Oryctolagus cuniculus: one gene and its partners. The protein of the gene in region 5 interacts with the protein of the main gene of each other region in a biochemical or structural test. Links are inferred from orthologs where the notes say so. Each region holds a gene or a part of one and is shown on either strand. Other genes may lie near its edges. The genes, in order: NUP88, NXF1, KPNB1, NUP155 and NUP98.

Region 1 (4,271 bases), on a different chromosome or scaffold from region 5:
CAGTCCCACCCATTGCAGCCATTTGGGGAGTAAACCAGTGGATGGAAGATCTCTTTCTACCTCTCTGTTAACTCTTTCAAATAAATAAAAATAAACCTTAAAAAAAAAAGTCCTTGAAAAACTCACGTCCACTTGTACTTCCTATTTCCTAAGACCACCTCAGATTCCCGTTTTCTTTTCTTTCCCTGTTCAGTGAAAGCCGTGAGACTGTCAATGTACTATTTACCTGGTACATGAAGAATCGCATGAAGCCAAAATTCTTTTAGACAACTCTACTCTGAATGAGATTTCTACTTACTGCTGCAATGTCTACAAGCCTGCTTTGTTTTTTATTTGTCCGTCAGTGATTCTAATCAAAGCGTTTCTTCTCAAAACAATTCTGAGGCACTTCCGTGGTTCTTCTCTGCTTTCTCCTCATGCTCAACCCCCAACTTCTTCCTACCTGATTCCACAGCCTAACTCAAACTGAAGAGGCCGCTTTGCTTCTGCTTCAGATACAATTCAATCACATGAGTTCATCTATGAAAATCACTTTATTTAGATTTCTGTTGTTCCTTTTTTTTTTTTGAAGATTTATTTATTTATTTGAAAGTCAGAGTTACACAGAGAGGAGAGGCAGAGAGAGAGAGAGGTCTTCTATCCACTCCCCAATTGGCTGCAACAGCCGGAGCTGTGCCGATCTGAAGCCAGGAGCCAGGAGCTTCCTCCGGGTCTCCCATGCAGGTGCAGGGGCCCGAAGACTTGGGCCATCTTCCACTGCTTTCCTAGGCCATAGGCAGAGCGCTAGATCGGAAGTGGAGCAACCGTCGGGCGGCTTTACCCACTATGCAACAGTGCCAGCCCCATGTTGTTACTGGTTTTAAAATCACTACTTTTTTTTTTTTTTTTTTAATTTAAGGTTGTAACTCATGGTAAATGGCTTTTCCTCACCAATCTGTGAGGTTTTCGAGATTCTGGAGGACTGAGGGTTGTTCAGTCAACAATATGTATTGAGAGGGGGTGTGTTCCAGGCACTCAGTCAAGTACCTGCCATACCAAAATTAACAAGGCAGACACACACCCTGCCTTAGTGCTTACAGCCTAGAAAAGACAACAGTTATATATCAATTTTGAATGTGTCGAACGCTGCTAGAATACTGCGCACTGAAGATCTGATAGTTACTCTTAACTGAAATTTTATACTAAGTAGATTGTAGGCTGGACCTATTTTCAAAGCTGCAGAAGCAATGCTAGCATCTCATTAAAATCAAAGCACTTTGGACCAGCCTTATGGCCTAATGGGCTAAGCCACAACCTGCAATGCCGGCATCCCACACATGCAACAGTTGGAGACCCAGCTGCTCCACATCCAATCCACCTCCCTGCTAATGCTCCTGGGAAAGCAGCTGAAGATGTCCCAAGTATTTGGGCCCCTGCACCCACGTGGGAGATCAGGAAGAAGCCCCTGGCTCTGGCCTGGTCCAGCCCAGGTCGTTGGGGAGTGGTCACTTGGGGAGTGAACCAGGATGGACAATCTCTCTTTCTCCACCTCTAACTCTGCCATTCAAATAAACAAAATACATTTAAAAAAAAATCAAATCACTGCTCATCAACAAGAACTGGACAGCAGCACACAACAGATGTCAGACGTTGGAAAGGGTGCCCTAAGTTTTTTTTTAAATCTTTATGAAAGCAGATCATGTATTACAAATAAACATTTTCATACAGCAATGTCCAATCGCAGCAAGCGTCCACTTCCACACGCTGACAACTTATCAAAAACAAACCAAAGTCCCTCCAACTCTGCGGAGGGTAGGGGAAAGACTCCCACAGAGGCTTCCTCCCCCAGGGCAGGCACCTGCTCCCAAGGCGACCCCGGCCCCGCGCTCTCGCACCGTCCCGGCCCTCCCCTCGGCCGCACCCCACTCACCACCCCGCTCCAAGCGGTGTGTCCCCGAGAGGACGCCCGCTCCCGCGAGAACCAGCCCACACCGGCCCCCTTGCCGAGAGCCCGCGCGGGGGGCACCTCCGCGACGGCCTGGCCCTACCTGGTACTGGGAGAGGGAGGGCTCCTCGCCGCCGCCGCGGAGGCCCCGAAGGCGCACGACTAAGAACGAGCTGCTTTCCCCGTCCCACAGGAAGAGATCTCCGCAGAGGCCGAAGACCAGGTTCCTCGTCAGCACCTGCGGCGGCGACGTGGGCAGTGATGACGACGTCTGTTTCTCGGCTTCGGCTGGGCTGTGATGTTTCAGTCCCTCCCGCAGCCGCAGGAACACGGCGTGGTTGGGAAGCCAGGTCTGCCACGGCTCACCGTCACCCACGACGCCATCGGCTGCCGCCATCTTGGCCCAACTGCTCGCCTCACTCGGGTTGCTCAGCCCGCCGCGGAGCGCAGCCAATCCGTGGCCAGCCGTCCACCGCTTCGTCCAATCATCGAGCAGGAAGCCCGGAAGCACGAGGCTAGCACGAGGAGGCGGGGCAAAAGGGGGATGCAGCCCATCAGCTAGGGGTATAGCCCGAGGGAGAGCCAATGGCCAGTCCAGGATTTACCCCGCAGCCAGGAGGGGGCGGGATGAGGAAGTCAACAGTATAGAGCCTGTTAACAAAGTTTGGGAGCGCCTGGACGTCTAGCGCCCGTGCAAAAGACTGAGAGCCCTACGTATCTAATTGTTGGCTGGATACTGCCAAGCATTCAGAACTTTCCTTCAAGACTTACCTCTTTCAGTCCGGGCTGGGTTGACCTCACGGCGTTAGCCCCCACCGCCCCATCCTTCGTCTCCGTGTTCTAGTACAACAATTCCCAGAACTCCCTGCGACCCACGTTCCACCGGCGTCCAGAAACTTCAACTCCCAGGGTTCTGTGCGCGCGCTTAGGGGCGGGGCTCTTGGCGGCGACTCACGCGAGGAGGAGATGGCCGGGCCGGCGGGGTCTCCACGCCGCTCGCTTTATAAACTGGTGGGCTCGCCGCCGTGGAAAGAGGCTTTCAGAAAAGTGAGTGTGGGCCCTGGGCCGTGGTCACTGCCCTCATCCGGGCCTTCGCCCCAGCCCCGCTGTGGGAAGCGGGTGCCGCTGGAGGCGACTCTGGAACCCAGGGCTCCCGCCCGTAGGTTTAGATCTGGATTTTCGATTTGCCCGCTCCCGGAGTTTTTGGCCCCCTGGTTTGAGATTGGCCTGGGTGCTCTCAGTGCCAGGAAAACTTGTTCTCGGGCTCGGGCTTCTTTTAAATCTGATGTAGTAGCCGCACCTTCCGAGCCGCCACCGTGTGGTGTGGTTGGGGGGTGCGGGGGGTCCCCCGAGACACGCACCTGTCTGCGTGCGCCACGGGAGACAGAAGTGTTTCTGACCTGGAGAGGAGCAAACAGGCTTAGAGGAAGAGCTGCATCTGCTGGGTGCCAGCAGAATTCTACCCCGCTCAGTTCTAGCTGCTCCTGAACCCCGCCTGGTTCCTAGAAAGCAACAGTGTGCATCTCCAGGAATCGCTGAAGTAGCCGCACGCTGCTCCGGACGCCCGCGTTCAGTATCCCTGTGCCGGCTCCGGAAGCGCCACCTTGGGCAGCACCTCCTGGTGTGGACCTGGCCCAGCCCTGGCTGTGTCGGGCATGGCGGGGGGAGGGGATGAACCATTGGATGGGAGATGTCTCTGTCTCTCTGTAGCTCTGCCCTTTGATTTAATTAAATGTATAAATAAAGCGGTTGGTATATTCCAGGAACACAGTGTGATTCTAGACAGACTGTATAGCACTTGGCTATTGACATTTTGAGGGAGATAATTGTTTGCTGTGGCTTCTACTCACGAGAAGCCAATAGTCCTACAACTGGAGTTGTGGCAACCAAAAGTTGTCTGTAAGCATTGCCAAGTGTCCCCTGGGGGACAGAGTCACCTTGAGCTGGGAGACCCTGTTGCACAGGAAAGTCTTGACCACACCCGTCTATCCCAACCACCGCTAGAGTAGCAAGCATGTGGAAACAATATGAAGGGCTTATGATAGGACAGTGAATGCTGAGATGTTGGGCTCCCAACCGGTCAGGAAGCTGGCATGGAAGATTAAATATGAAATGTGGGAATTGCAAGGTGTCCGGCGCATAACAAATCTTCCCAGGCAGACGAATCAATTAATTTACAGGCTTTTATTGGGATCCCGCTCCCGGGCGAGGTTCCCCGGTCCCAACAGAGCAGGGGCCGGGGAAGTCCTGTGTGAGAGATTGGGAGTGCTCCTTTTATAGAAATAGGGCGTGGGCGTTGAAGGTTGAGGCGGGTCTGATCCTCATTGGTTGACCTTTAGGCACCCGT
Region 2 (3,514 bases), about 54 Mb from region 5:
GCAGGCGTGGGAATCCCAAGGAAGGTGCTGGGCGTGGAGGCCACGGGGGCATAGGCTACCAAGGAGACAGAGAACTGACCCTGTCAGGGGCACTGCCCCGCTCTCACTCGCACACCTCACGTCACCCTGCTTGGCCCCGGAGGATGGCTGGTTAGCCAGAGACGGGTAAGATTCCTCTGGGAAGGAACAACCTAAGACAGGCACAGTCGCAGAGGGGCCATCAGGAGAGAACTTGGGGGCCAACAGAGGTGGGGCACAGACCCTCACCCCCCCAACTTTGCAGGGGTATGAACCCTCACCCCTTCTGAGGGCTGTCTCCTGCCCCCGTGGCTGCTTTGCTTCCCACGCCTACCCAGCTCAGATCGGGACCCAGGTGGCAGATAGAGACCTGGCCAATAGCAACTGCCCGCTCACCACAGCAAAGATTTCTTCCCCATTTCTGCCTTGGACCACAGGGAAAGGGCAGCTAAAGGAAAAGGCTGTATCCAGGTGTCTTCCTCTCCTATCCTCTTTGATGGAAATGCCTCCTTGCTTTGTCGCTCTTTTGTTTTTCTTGGCTTTCTCTTGCCTTTTCCTCCCTACTTCCCATTGCCTCCTCTGTCTCTCACTTGTCCCATCCCATTCTCCCTTTTTGCTTCCTCTTCTTTTCCTGTCTTTTTCTGTTACCTCCCCTCCCCATGAGCCCCGCCTTGCTCATCTCCCTGCCCCAACATCCTGTGCCATCCTGTGGTGTGCTCTGGTCTTGGCCAAGGCCAGACCTGGCAGAACTGATGGATACCTGGTGAGGCAGCGGAGCCCCTGGGCTCCCACCCCATTCCCTTCTCCCTGGGCTGCACAGGTGAGTAGGTGGAAGGTAAGGGGGGCAGGGAGGGGAAGGATGGCCTGGGCTTAAAGCCTGGGCTGAGAGTGCTACTCTTGTGGCACTTGGGGTTAGGCAGAGAGAAATGTGACAGCCTTCAAGGCAGTCCATGTCTGGGAGCCCTGGGTCAGGTGGGGAGTGTGGGCCATTTTTTCTCTGAGCACAGGCTGGGGAGGAGTGGGGGGATGAGCAGGATGGTATGGGCTACCCTTGGGCCCTGGTGTATTTGCTCCTATAGCAGCCCAGGAGGCACGGTGGCCCTGAAGCATCACTCACTTCTGTCCCATTCTTGACAGCGCCATTCGTGAACGATTCCCCAAGTTGTTACGCCTGGTAAGTTGACAGCTGTTTTCATTTTCTTCTAAAGAGTATAATATCTCCCACTCCCTCTGACAAAAGCTATAATCCTGCTTCCCAGGAAATGCTGCTAGGCAAAAGTTGCATATGTCAGGGTTCATGGACACTTTTCATACTTCTTTCACACTTCTTGCCTGTCATTTGTAGCTCTTCCATCTAGGTAAGCGTGTAGCCATTTTTCCTCTGGTGTATACTCACCTTTCACTTTATCTGCATAGGATGGCCATGAGTTACCCCCACCAATTGCCTTTGATGTTGAAGCCCCAACACTGTTGCCACCCTGCAAGGTGAGAACGGGGACATAGCTAGAATGTGGGGGTGGGGGTACTGGTTCCATGGTCCTAATATCTGTTTGATTCCAGGGAAGCTATTTTGGAACAGAAAACCTGAAGAGTCTGGTCCTGCACTTCTTGCAGCAGTAAGTATCCCAGGGCCCCAAGGCTGCAGAGGGGTTTGGCTGTCCAAAGCCCGGTTCATTCTTGGGAGCTGCTAAGTCCCTCTGTGGCTGCAGAGCTTAGAGTTTCCCTTTTTCTTTTTTTCCTCCCACAGGTATTATGCAATTTATGACTCTGGAGACCGACAGGGGCTCCTGGATGCCTATCATGATGGGGCCTGCTGTTCCCTGAGCATTCCTTTCATCCCCCAGAACCCCGGCCGGTGAGTTCACGTCCCAGAACCTGCCCAAGCCTTCAGGGTTTCCCAGCAGGAAGGGACCAGCTCTGCTAGCAACCAGTGTTCGGACCAATGCCTCTTTTTCCACTAGAAGCAGCTTGGCAGAGTACTTCAAGGATAGCAGAAATGTGAAGAAGCTTAAAGACCCTAGTAAGTGTATGATGTGAGCAAAACAGGATGGGAGGGAATCGGAGCACTTAGGATGGTTTGGCAGCCCCAACTCCCTTCCTCCTCCACCTCCAGCACTGCGGTTCCGATTGCTGAAGCACACACGTCTCAACGTGGTTGCCTTCCTCAATGAGTTGCCCAAAACTCAGCATGACGTCAATTCCTTTGTAGTAGACATAAGCGCCCAGACCGTAAGTGCCTATTTCTTTCCTGATAGACGCCTTAAATTGGGGGTGAGGGTGGAGGGAAGCATTTAAGAGGCAAAGGGGCTCAGGTCCTACCAAGAAGCCTCCAGTGTCCCTAATGCTTCTTTTTCAGAATACATTGCTGTGTTTTTCTGTCAACGGTGTCTTTAAGGAAGGTGAGAATTTGGGGGGGTCCTGAGGTTATAGCATGGTCCCTCCTCCATCCAGAATCTTCTTCAGCACTCTTAGTTTCTCAGCTACCTTCTGTCCCCTTTTCTTTCCTGATCTCCTCCCATTCTGCCACCAAGCCATTGTGCTTGGGCCTGCCTTCTCCACCTATCTTGTCTGCAGTATAGGAAAAGCCTGGGATAGATTAGGAGGACACAGACTTTGGAGTCAGAAAGGTCTGGTTTTCCATCTCAATCTTGATTCTGTGCATCTGTGTGCAAGTTATTATCTCTGAGCTTCATCAGCATCTTCCTTTGTATTCTGAGATGGAGTTGGTAACAGCCAGGTCTTAATGGTGCCATAGGAAGTAAATGAAGTGACTTTTAAAGTACTTTACCCCTGGCACAATACACAAGTGCTCTGTCAGTGGGTTAGTAGTTGTTAGTATTATTATCCTTTCTGACCTCTGACCCTTTGCCCCCCCTACACTCCCCTGCACATGACATAGTTATCCCAGTGTGGCCCACGCGGGGTTCTTTATAACATAGAAGACAGAGAGCTGAGAAGCTATTTCTAAACATAAAGCACAAGTGCCTCTAAAAGGTGGTTGCCGCTCTCTTTGCAGTGGATGGAAAGTCCCGGGATTCTTTGCGAGCCTTTACTCGGACATTCATTGCCGTTCCTGCCAGCAATTCAGGGTAAGTTCCCGGTTTACCAGGTTGGGTACCAATCCCAGTTCATGGCCAGCAGCATGGTAATTGGAGGGTAGAATCAGTCCTCAGGATGTTTTCAGAATCTGAAAGGCAGTGGCAGATCACAGGAAGTGGCTCCCATCCTGGTTAAGGGCTTGGCTCTGGAGTCGGACTGTCTGGGTTTTCATCTTGAGTTTACTACTGGCCATGGACCAGTTTCTTCATCTGAAAATATTATAATAATATTCACTTCCTAAGTTTACTGTGAAGACAGATAAAATACACAGGGGCTCACAGCTGTCTGTGGTCAGATGAGAAACTATGAGTTCAATGTGTTTGGCAGAACATCCTTCCAAACACAAAGCCCAGAGGACAAACTATGCAAATGGTAAAAGGCAGCAGCTAACAGTGGG
Region 3 (3,946 bases), on a different chromosome or scaffold from region 5:
TCAAAGAGTTCTTGATTTGTAGACCAGCTGCAACTCTGGCAACCTGACTGTTTCCTGGATTTGCTAGCACTCTGGACAGTTCCACAAGGAAAGTGGGCTGTTAAGAGAACATGCATTGGCCAATGAAAATCTCTTGGGATTTCAATAACTGAAGTTCATCAAGCACCCAAATCATGGGTGGATGCAGGAAGCACACACTTTTGGGACATACCAGGAACTCTAAACCATCTACTTCAAGATCCCCATAAAAGTTATTTGATATACAAGGAGGCCACCCGTCTTCGCATGTAGCCAAGCACTTACTTAGGAGATACATTATTTTCCTATCAAGATCATCCTCAGTGCCCCAATCTCCCTAACAGATCGCCAGAATTTAAGCAAATCTGACAAGCACATTCTTCATGTGTGCTGAAGCGTTCCAAGCACCCAGAACCACCTCTGATACTCAATAAATATTTGTTGAATGAATAAATGTTATGACGGGTAGAAATTAAAATTGCTTCTCTGAATTTCAAAAAGCTTAGTCCAAAAAGAATGATGGTTTGAGCCCCTGGGAGCAGTTAATCTCTTATAAAAAATGGAATACTTAAGCCTGAAGCAGACTTGGGTACCTAATCCTCTGTATTTTACTTGCGGGGTGTTCAGCAGAGGGAGACCAAAGGAAAAAGCCAATCGATAAGGGAAAGTAGTAGATACTTAGAAACAGGAAAAAACCAAACAGACAAAAATGTCCAGGCAAGTCATTTAAGGAAAATGACTATGCTTAACTCAACAGTCAATACACCAAGGGCTCCTTAGACTTGAGCTGTCTACTGAACACAGTGGATCCCTAAAAAGCACAATCTTCTAACCCACAGGTTCCAAGCTACTTGCTTCACAATTCTATCCCATACCAAAAAAAGAAAAAAGAAAAAAAAAAGCCTCATCCAAACAACAGGAAAAGCCAAACGCAGTACACTTTCTTACCACGGGCAAGTGCCGCAATCACAGCAAGAGAGAATTCTTCAAAAGTTGTGTTAATTACGCACCACTGAAGAATGTCAGGAATAAGAGAAAAAGCTGCTTGCAAGTCAGCAAACCCACACACAGGAATACACCCTGAATGGAATGACTGGTCTACACCAGGGGAAAAATCTTTTGTAGGGCAAGTTCAAGATAAAAGAGGTGTAAAACTGGCACGTGGAAGGACAAGAACAGCCAAACGCAGCTTGTAGAAAATAAGCCTTGTCACTTTGTTGTTGCTGACGTGCCTTCCCCAGAGGACACGTTTGGTTACAGCGTCATTTAGCCCTCACTACCTCGCACCTTTAAAAGATGTCCAGTATCATCCACCGCTCCCTCTTCTCCCCATCCCCCAGCAGGAGAAGGAAACAAGCTGCACCAGACCGTTCCAACCAATCAACCCTGCATTTTTGTAGGGAGCTCCAGCCTCCGGCGGAGCTATCTTCATTTTCCCTGCACCCCCTGACTTCGGAAATGAGAAATGAGGACTTTCCTCTATTTCATTAAAAATAGGCCCGATCTCCAGGACAAGCCTCAGTATGTCGCCTGGGCGCAGGTCCCTAACGATGAGGTCTCTAGTCATCGGGGCCAGGAAAAACGGGGAGACCTCCACAAAAGCCCCAAGAGAGGGCCAACTAGGCAGGAGAGGGAGAGAAATACCAATGGGAAGGGTTCAGAGGCAGCCGGGGGTGCAGGCCTGGCCAGGAGCACAGAGCAAAGCAAACGCTCTGGGAAGAAGTGGGGAGAGCCGCAGGGCCCCCGGGACAGGAAGGAGAAGCCGGCTGGGCCAGAGCAGGGCGGGCAGCCGGCCTCCGAGCTTCCACATGGCCCCTAGGCCCGGCTCCCCAACCCCCACCCTTGCTGAACACGCAGCGCCGCGCAACCTAACTTCCCTCCCCTCGCTCTTTCTCCCTCCCGCTGCACCGCCGCCCTCAGGCCGCGCGGCGATTGGGCGGCAGTCACCCCGGCGCGCCGCGCCATTGGCCGGCCGCGCGGCCCGGGGCGGGACACACCCACCGGCTTCCCGACGGCGGGGTTAGGTTGGACCGGGCGCGGGGGGGGCGCGGAGGAGAGGGGGACGGGGCGGGGGGAGGGGGACGGGATGGGGCGGGGTAGGTTCCCGAGGCCTGGGCCTCCGGGAGGGCGGGAAGGCCCCGCACGCAGGGAACGGGGACGCGGCGGGCTGGGGCGCGGCGGGGCGGCACGCACCAGGTTCTCCACGGCCGCACGCTCCAGGAACTTCTGCGCCGCTTCCAGTTCCAGCCGATCTGGGGGGAGGAGAGTGGGGACGGGAGCGGGGTCAGAGGGGCCGGGGCTCCCCCCTCCCCCACCCCAACTCACCTCAGCGCGACCCCGGCCCCCGAGTCCTACCGGGAGACACGGTCTTCTCGAGGATGGTGATCAGCTCCATGGCGGAGGTGGCGGCGGCGGCTGCTCCTCCGAAGACGACGGTCCGGCCTCTCGGGCGGCGGCTCCGACTGGGGATGGGGGTTGGGGGTCGGGTGGGAAGGGAGGGTGGGGTGGGGGGCGGGGGTCACCACACGCCCATTCACCGGCTCGCTGAGAGTCGTCCCTCCGGCTCCCCTTCCTCCCGTTTCCTTCCTTCCTCCCTCCTAAAATGCTGCTGGCGGCGCGGCAGCTGCTCCTCTGGCGGCGGGGGAGGGACCCCACGGGCAGCTCAGAGCGCGGCTGGTGCTCGGGTGGCGGAGGGAGAAAGAAGGAAGGGAGGCAGTCAGTGAACGGGCGGCGCGCAGGGAGGGAGAGAGAGGGAGGGAGGAAGGCGGAGGGATATTCGGGCCGGACCTCTCCGCGGCGGCACCGCGCTCCGCGGCGATTGGCTGCCGCCTTGGCCACGCGGAATCCCCAATTGGCCAGGCGGTCAGCGTTGAAGGGCCGCCGTGCGTCCATTCGCCCGCTAGTTTGAAGGCCCGGGTTGGCTGGGCGGGCAGGAGAATGCGGCTCGCGGATTGGCCTGGGGGAGGGAAGTTGGGGTGGGGCAGGCGGGAGCAAGCCACTGATTGGGTCGCCGTGGTAAAGGCCTTGAGCTCAGACCGGCTGGGCGCTGGGAGGAGGGTGGGCTCAAAGCGAGACCCGCGGCCCGCGCGATTGGCTGGGGTGCTAGACGTTGATAGGATAGGGCGCCCGGGAGAGGAGTTCGGGGTCGGGGCGCCGAAAGGCGGGAGGCGCCTGGCCGCTGTAGGAGCCCCGACGCGAGGCACGCTGGGACGCCCCCGGGAAGGGGCGGGGCTGGGCCCCTGCAGCCCGGGCTGCGGTTGGGGAGGCGCAGGCCCTCGGAGGGGCGTGGGGAGGGAGGGCTTGGCGGGCCTGAGCGGGGGAGGGGGAGACCGTTAAAGTCCGGCACCGCGCCCACAGGAAGCTGCTTGGGCGACGAGCTAACTCCACTTGTTGCCAGACTCTCGGCTGGGGAAGACCTTGAAGACCATGTGGTCCAACTTCCAATGTGCAGATGTGGAAAGTAAACCCAGAGGGGATGGGACTTGTCCAAAGTCGCAGCAGCCGGCTAGCGGCTTGGTCAGGGCTGTCCTCGGGGACTCTGGGCTGCCCTTGACCCTACAGGCGTCTTGCCTCCCCGCTCCAGGAGTCCCCTTAGGCCATTCGTAGGGTTTGAGACCTGTTCTGAAGTCTGACTTAGGGAAGGGCTAAGAGACTCCCGTTAGATCCCTGTCCATAGCTACCGGGTACCTGAAGTAGAAGTGTTTCGTTCACGCTGCAGGGGTACCCTTGTACACGCACATCCTCGAATCAAAGAATGTGCATAGGCCAAAAGCTCCGCGGTTCTTGGCCTTGGAAAGTTCAGAGTCCTGGGAAAAACTCAAGCCCTCCCCCCCCCCCCTTGGTAGGAAAATGCACATAGAGAACATGTGTGTCGGGTTTCTTGGCTTCTCCAGTATTGGCAGGTGGGCTCCAGGTTGATTTCCTAAGC
Region 4 (3,514 bases), on a different chromosome or scaffold from region 5:
AAAACCTTGGGTTTGTATCATATTGTCCCTTAGTAATGTTTGAATTTTATTATTCAACATTGGTTTTTATCTGCCTTTGAACAAATCTGCTTATTAAAAGTGGAGCTTTAAATGCTGTTACATTAGGGGCCAATGCTGTGGCACAATGGGTAAAGCCACTGCCTGCTAGTGCTGGCATCCCATATGGGCATCAGTTCGAGTTTCAGTTGCTCCACTTCCAATCCAGCTCTCTGCTATGGCCTAGGAAGCAGGAGAAGATGGCCCAAGTCCTTGGGCTCCTGCACCCACATGGGAGACCCAGAAAAGCTCCTGGCTCCTGATCTATTCAGTTCTGGCCATTACGGCCATTTGGGGAGTGAAGCACTGGAGGAAAGACCTTTCCCTCTGTCTGCCTTTGCTTCTCTGTAACTCTGCCTTTCAAATAAATAAATAAGTCTTTAAAAAAGTTGTTAAATTTTAAAACTAAAACCATAAATTTATAGAAATAAAAAGATGCGGCCGGCGCCGCAGCTCACTAGGCTAATCCTCCGCCTTGCGGCGCCGGCACATCGGGTTCTAGTCCCGGTCGGGGCACCGGATTCTGTCCCGGTTGCCCCTCTTCCAGGCCAGCTCTCTGCTGTGGCCAGGGAGTGCAGTGGAGGATTGCCCAAATGCTTGGGCCCTGCACCCCATGGGAGACCAGGAGAAGCACCTGGCTTCAGATTAGCGCGGTGCACCAGCCGCAGCACGCCGGCCACGGCAGCCATTGGAGGGTGAACCAACAGCAAAATAAATAAATAAATAAATAAATAAAAATATTTAAGTGGTATTATTACCTGAGTTCATTATAAAATTTTCTTTATCCTGTATGACTGTTTGATTGCCCAGAAGTGCTTAATTCTTGACTCTTCACCACTTTTTTTTTTTTTTTTTTTTTTTTTTTTTTGACAGGCAGAGTGGACAGTGAGAGAGAGAGACAGAGAGAAAGGTCTTCCTTTGCCGTTGGTTCACCCTCCAATGGCCGCCGCGGCTGGCGCACTGCGGCCGGTGCACCGCACTGATCCTATCGCAGGAGCCAGGTACTTCTCCTGGTCTCCCATGGGGTGCAGGGCCCAAGCACCTGGGCCATCCTCCACTGCACTCCCTGGCCACAGCAGGGAGCTGGCCTGGAAGAGGGGCAACCGGGACAGAATCCGGCGCCCCGACCGGGACTAGAACCCGGTGTGCCAGCGCCGCAAGGCGGAGGATTAGCCTAGTGAGCCATGGTGCCGGCCATTAGCTTGAATTTTAAAAAAGGAAAACAAAGTGTATGTTTAAAAGAAAAAACTGTCAACAAAAAACCCAAAACCACTCCTCAGGCACTGCTGGAAACCAGAGGACTTTTAACTTTAAAAAGTGGTGGGCTGGCGCCGCGGCTCAATAGGCTAATCTTCCACCTGTGGCGCTGGCACCCGGGGTTCTAGTTCCGGTTGGGGTGCCGGATTCTGTCCCAGTTGCCCCTCTTCCAGTCCAGCTCTCTGCTGTGGCCCGGGAGGGCAGTGGAGGATGGCCCAAGTGTTTGGGCCCTGTACCCCCATGGGAGACCAGGAGGAAGCACCTGGCTCCTGGCTTCAGATTGGCGCAGCGTGACGGCTGTAGTGGCCATTGGGGGGTGAACCAATGGAAGGAAGACCTTTCTCTGTCTCCCTATCTCACTGTCTAACTCTGCCTGTCAAAAAAAAAAAAAAAAAAAAAAAAAAAAAGTGGTGAAGAGTCAAGAATTAAGCACTTCTGGGCAATCAAACAGTCATACAGGATAAAGAAAATTTTATAATGAACTCAGGTAATAATACCACTTAAATATTTTTATTTATTTATTTATTATTTTTTATTTTTTTATTATTATTATTTTTTATTTTTTTGATACGGAGAGTTAGACAGTGAGAGAGACAGAAAAAGGTCTTCCTTTTCCCCTTGGTTCACCCCCCAGATGGCCGCTACAGCTGGTTTGCTACGCCAATCCGAAGCCAGGAGCAAGGTGCTTTCTCCTGCTCTCCCATGCGGGTGCAGGGCCCAAGCCCTTAGGTCATCCTCCACTGCCTTCCTGGGCCACAGCAGAGAGCTGGACTAGAAGAGGAGCAACCGGGAGAGAACCAGTGCCCCAGCTGGGACTAGAACCCAGGGTGCTGGCGCAGCAGGCAGAGGATTAGCCTAGTGAGCCACGGCGCCGGCACCACTTAATTCTAAATATTGTTAGTCTTATTATAAATTAGGACAACTGAACAGTTTGTATCTCCTAATAGTTGAAAGAAAAAAGCCTTACTGTGAAGTATACTATTCTTTCTGAAATAAATGGATCTGAACCCAACTAAGCCTACATAGACTTAACATCCATTTGATAGAAGACATATGAGGTAGGGCTGGTGTTGAGGTGAAGTGGGTTAAGCCACTGCCTGCAGCATCCCATATGGAAGATCTTTCTGTTTCTCCTCTCTCTGTAACTCTAACTCTCAAATACGTAAATAAGCAAGAGGATTTTATTGAGGCCAGTAAAAGAAATATAAACTGGTCATTTCCTATGAGAAACATCTTTTTTTCTTTTCTATTTAGATTTAATTTATTTATTTGAGACGGCAGTTACAGACAGAGAGGTCTTCCATCCACTGATTCACTTCCCAAATGGCTGAAATGCCTGGAGCTGGTCAGATTCAAGCCAGGAGCCAGGAGCTTCTTCTTAGTCTCCATAGCGGCCACTTGGGGGGTGAACCAACAGAAGGAAGATCTTTGTCTCTCTCACTGTCTAACTCTATCTGCCAAATAAATTTTAAAAATATATTTTAAATAAATAAATAAAGTTAAGAGTTCTCTCACATACCACTAAGAAGTTCTCATATACTGCAGAAGCTTGCGGAGTTGACCATATGATTCTCTCAAGTTATCATACTTTAGTGCATCTTGCTATGATATACTGAATCTACTGTAACCAAAATAATCCCTCCCAAGTCCAAGTGTAAGATGAAAAAGCATGCCAAAGAAAACAACATTGCTTGTAGCATTAACAGATCTTAAAACAAAGAAAAAAATCCTACCTTCTGAAGTTCTCCCACAATGAGAGTAAACTGATGTTCACAAAGAAGTTTCCATAAAGCCAGAGCCTGGTAGGATTTTCGAACCAACTGCTGGATTGCCTGAAGTGAAACCTTTTCACTCAGTTGAGCCTCTAAAGATAAAACACAATTAAAGAAATTTTATAAAAGTAACACAGTTTTTTTAAAAAAGATTTCACTTATTTATTTGAAAGGTGGTGGGGGCGGGGGGTAGTCTTCTATCCGTTGGTTCACTCCCTAGATGGCCGCACTGTCTGGAGCTGAACCAATCCAAAGCCAGAAGCCAGGAGCTTCTTCTGGGTCTCCCACAAGGACTTGGGCCATCTTCTACTGCATTCCCAGATCACAGCAGAGAGCTGGATTGGAAGTGGGGTAGCTGAGTCTCAAACTGGCACCCTTACGGGATGCTGGCACTGCAGGCAGTGACATTACCCACTGCACCACAGTTT
Region 5 (3,514 bases):
ACCACCCCATTTTTGTAAGTAAGAAAACTGGTTTCAAGTAAGTGGTAGCTTGTACAAACTCAAAAAATCTACCAAATACCAGGACTGGCAGGGAAAGTACAGGGAGGTCTGTTACCAGTACTAAGCCCATACCAAAATCCCAAATGTGGGGGGCAGGCATTGCAGAGCAGTGTGTTAAGTCACTGCCTATGATACCAATGCTTTATTGGAGCATTGGTTCAAGTCCCAGGTACACTCCTTCTAGTCCAGCTCCCTGCCAATACATCTTGGAAAGCAGCAGCAGATGGCCCAAGTACTTGCAGCCCCTGCCATCCACATGGGAGACCTGGATGGGGTTCCTGGCTCATGGCTTTGGTCTGACTCAGCCTCGGCCCTTGATGTCATTTGGGGAGAGAACCAATGGACTGAAGATCTCTCTCTCTCTCGTTTCTCCCTTTCCCTCTGTCATTCTGCTTTTCATATAATTAATTATATTATATAATATATATTAATTATATAATTATAAATAATAAAAACTTTAAATAAAAATTCCAAATGTGTGAAGATTACACATGGTTAATTCTTATATATTTATGTTACTAAAAACACACACACACACATACACACACAACAAATCCATGATAGGATTTTGGATGTTTTTTAAAGAACTGTTAAATGTTTGAACAGAGATGTATTTCCCCTGAGTGGACATTACACAATCTATAAATGTATCAAAAAGTCAAATGGAACACCATGTCTGATAAAAGGAGACAGGACTGTGGCACAGCAGGTTATGTTGCTGCCTCTAATACCAGGATCCCATGGGTGCTGGTTTGAGTCCCACCTGCTCCACTTCTAATGCAGTTCCCTTTTAATGCATCTGGGAAAGCAACAGAAGATGGTTTAAGTACTTGGGAGATACACCCATGTGGGAGACCTGCACGAAATTCCAGACTCCTGGGTTTGGCCTGGCTCAGTTCCATTGTTGCAGACATTTGGGGGTCTCAAAGAGCAGATGGAAGCTTTCTATCTCTCTTTCAAATAAATAAGTAAATAAATCTTTTTAAAAAATTCAAAATAACTTTCTTAGTCCTTATAAGAGCTTAGTAAGATCAAAGATCAAAACTCAAATTCCTACCTTCTGTTACGAGTTAAAGAAAAAAATATTGAAAATTCTTATGATTGCACATGTACTTTTCTGAGGAAAAGTTCTTATTAGAATTGCCTAATCCGGGCCGGCGCCGCGGCTCACTAGGCTAATCCTCCGCCTAGCGGCGCCGGCACACCGGGTTCTAGTCCCGGTCGGGGCGCCGGATTCTGTCCCGGTTGCCCCTCTTCCAAGCCAGCCCTCTGCTGTGGCCAGGGAGTGCAGTGGAGGATGGCCCAGGTGCTTGGGCCCTGCACCCACATGGGAGACCAGGAAAAGCACCTGGCTCCTGGTTCCTGCCATCGGATCAGCGCGGTGCGCCGGCCGCAGCGCGCCGGCCGTGGCAGCCATTGGAGGGTGAACCAACGGCAAAGGAAGACCTTTCTCTCTGTCTCTCTCTCTCTCACTGTCCACTCTGCCTGTCAAAAATAAAAAAAAAAAAAAATAAAAAAATAAAAAAAAAAAAAAGAATTGCCTAATCCACAATTTTTTAAAAGGATTTATTAACTGAATTGTCTGAAAAGCAGAGTGACAAAGACTTAGAGAGACCCCAAGAAAGAGAGAGAAATGTCTTTAACCTGCTTATTCATTCCCCAGATGGCCACAACAGCCAGGTTTGTGCTAGGTCAAACTCAGGAGTCAGAAACTTCATCCCAGTCTCCCAGAAGGGTGGCAGCAGCCCAAGCAATTGGGCCATCATCCACTGCCTTCCCAGCTGCATTAGCAAGAAGATGGATTGAAAGTGGAGCAGTAGCCGTGCCGCCGTTGCTCTCTAACGCCAGCGCGGCCTCTCGCTCGCCGAGCTCCAGCTGAAGGAGAAGTGTGGTAAGTAGGGAGGTCTTTATACCATGGCTCATACAGGGCAGACTGCCGCAAATTGACTGGTGGTAAAGCACCCAGGAAGCAACTGGCTACAAAAGCCGCTCGCAAGAGTGCGCCCTCTACTGGAGGGGTAAAAAAAAAAAAAGTGGAGCAGCATGGGGCCAGAGCTGTGGCATGGCAGGTAAAGCCGCTGCCCCCACTGCCAACATCCCATATGGGTGCCGGTTTGAGTTTTGGGAGCCAGGAATTCAATCCCAGGTAGCAGAGATACAACTATATAAGCCATCACCTGCTGCCTCCCAGGGAACTTGAATGGATTCCAATCCAGAAATTTCATTATAGTATGCAAGTATCCCAAATGACATCTTAACTGCTGCTCCAATGACCACAACTTAATATTCACTTAACTGTTCAAGTGTTCTGTTTATAGTAATACCCTACCTCCAATTCCACCAAGTTACTAGTCCACTAGGCAAAAAGCTTAGGGAAAATTGGAATCTTGAATCTTGATGAATTCTATGAATTATCAAAAGGCAAAGATTTCCTCATAAGGCACTGAGATAGCATTAGGACTACACAGAGAGTCCAATGTAGGACAACTTGTTAAATCCTCAAAGTAACTTGTGATAAAAATTTGGAAATTGGAACTTATTTAATTCATACTCATAAGCAAACAAAAGCATGACCCTAAGCAAAGCACAAATACTATACTCTCCATACAATTTCTGCATCTTCACCAACAGAAGTAATTATAGTTCTTAAAAAACTGGACACTCCTAATATAAGAGTGTGAGCTCTCTTAACATTCTTATGTCAGAGGTATGGCTGTTAGGGAGATACATTCTGGAAATCTACTCAGCACAGGAGATATATGAAACGTGGAACTTGATGACTCTACAGCTTTCTTGTAAAACAGCGTATTTATACAATACCTAGTGAACGAGATTTTGATGGGTGGGATGCTGAAATGGGGAGTCTGGGAGAACAGATTTCTTGAGAAGCATCTGCTTTGGAAGGAACATGACTGAAGCGCTGATCCAGCATCATGTCTATATCTTCTTCATCAGCAAGCAGTGATGCTTTCATGATCTAAAAAGGCAATATGTATATACACAGACACACAATGAATGTGCTCTCTGAAACTGAAAGGCTACTAAAAGATACAGTTTACAACAACCAAAAAAAATTACTTCTTAAGATAGTGTCCAGAAATACTGTAATATTTGTGTTACTGATTTCATTACAATGTGTCTCACCAGAACCTGGCATATAGCAACTGCTGAGGTCTTAATAAATAATTTTAAAATCAAACATAAGCACAAGCCAAAAGCTAAACTCATGCCTTTTGGCATGGGCAAGGTGAAGTAGAGACAGGGTTTACAGAAACTTTAAAATTTTGTGGAACACTTTACAAAGCCTCAAAAACAACCTTCAAAGTAGAAAAAGTTATGTTTTACAGAAGTCAGTGCTCACAGACGTTAAATGACTGTCACACAGTAATAAATTCACAAAACTGGGATTAGAATCCAGATCACCTGATACTAATACCCTTAAAAAACCAGAAGC

What was found.
Region 1: the proteins of NUP98 (region 5) and NUP88 form a complex in vitro, tested with the Homo sapiens proteins (2 studies listed by BioGRID). The link is inferred for Oryctolagus cuniculus from reciprocal best matches to the Homo sapiens genes NUP98 and NUP88.
Region 2: the proteins of NUP98 (region 5) and NXF1 form a complex in vitro, tested with the Homo sapiens proteins (5 studies listed by BioGRID and IntAct). The link is inferred for Oryctolagus cuniculus from reciprocal best matches to the Homo sapiens genes NUP98 and NXF1.
Region 3: the proteins of NUP98 (region 5) and KPNB1 form a complex in vitro, tested with the Homo sapiens proteins (3 studies listed by BioGRID). The link is inferred for Oryctolagus cuniculus from reciprocal best matches to the Homo sapiens genes NUP98 and KPNB1.
Region 4: the proteins of NUP98 (region 5) and NUP155 form a complex in vitro, tested with the Homo sapiens proteins (2 studies listed by BioGRID). The link is inferred for Oryctolagus cuniculus from reciprocal best matches to the Homo sapiens genes NUP98 and NUP155.

What each region holds. Positions count from the first base shown.
Region 1 is NC_091448.1:50,908,938-50,913,208, reverse strand, and holds the start of NUP88 (nuclear pore complex protein Nup88), read right to left. Parts: upstream 2,805-4,271; 5' UTR 2,696-2,804; intron 2,440-2,695; 5' UTR 2,322-2,439; coding exon 2,028-2,321; intron 1-2,027. Other genes in the region: RPAIN (RPA-interacting protein), read left to right, coding at 2,891-2,971. UniProt on the Homo sapiens protein: Component of nuclear pore complex.
Region 2 is NC_091432.1:8,795,924-8,799,437, forward strand, and holds part of NXF1 (nuclear RNA export factor 1), read left to right. Parts: intron 1-1,155; coding exon 1,156-1,192; intron 1,193-1,434; coding exon 1,435-1,503; intron 1,504-1,578; coding exon 1,579-1,634; intron 1,635-1,765; coding exon 1,766-1,873; intron 1,874-1,979; coding exon 1,980-2,038; intron 2,039-2,131; coding exon 2,132-2,247; intron 2,248-2,374; coding exon 2,375-2,417; intron 2,418-3,034; coding exon 3,035-3,107; intron 3,108-3,514.
Region 3 is NC_091448.1:23,988,343-23,992,288, reverse strand, and holds the start of KPNB1 (importin subunit beta-1), read right to left. Parts: upstream 2,815-3,946; 5' UTR 2,414-2,814; coding exon 2,374-2,413; intron 2,271-2,373; coding exon 2,212-2,270; intron 98-2,211; coding exon 1-97.
Region 4 is NC_091445.1:62,776,797-62,780,310, forward strand, and holds part of NUP155 (nuclear pore complex protein Nup155), read right to left. Parts: intron 3,179-3,514; coding exon 3,048-3,178; intron 1-3,047.
Region 5 is NC_091432.1:63,190,060-63,193,573, reverse strand, and holds part of NUP98 (nuclear pore complex protein Nup98-Nup96), read right to left. Parts: intron 3,038-3,514; coding exon 2,881-3,037; intron 1-2,880. UniProt on the Homo sapiens protein: Plays a role in the nuclear pore complex (NPC) assembly and/or maintenance. NUP98 and NUP96 are involved in the bidirectional transport across the NPC. May anchor NUP153 and TPR to the NPC.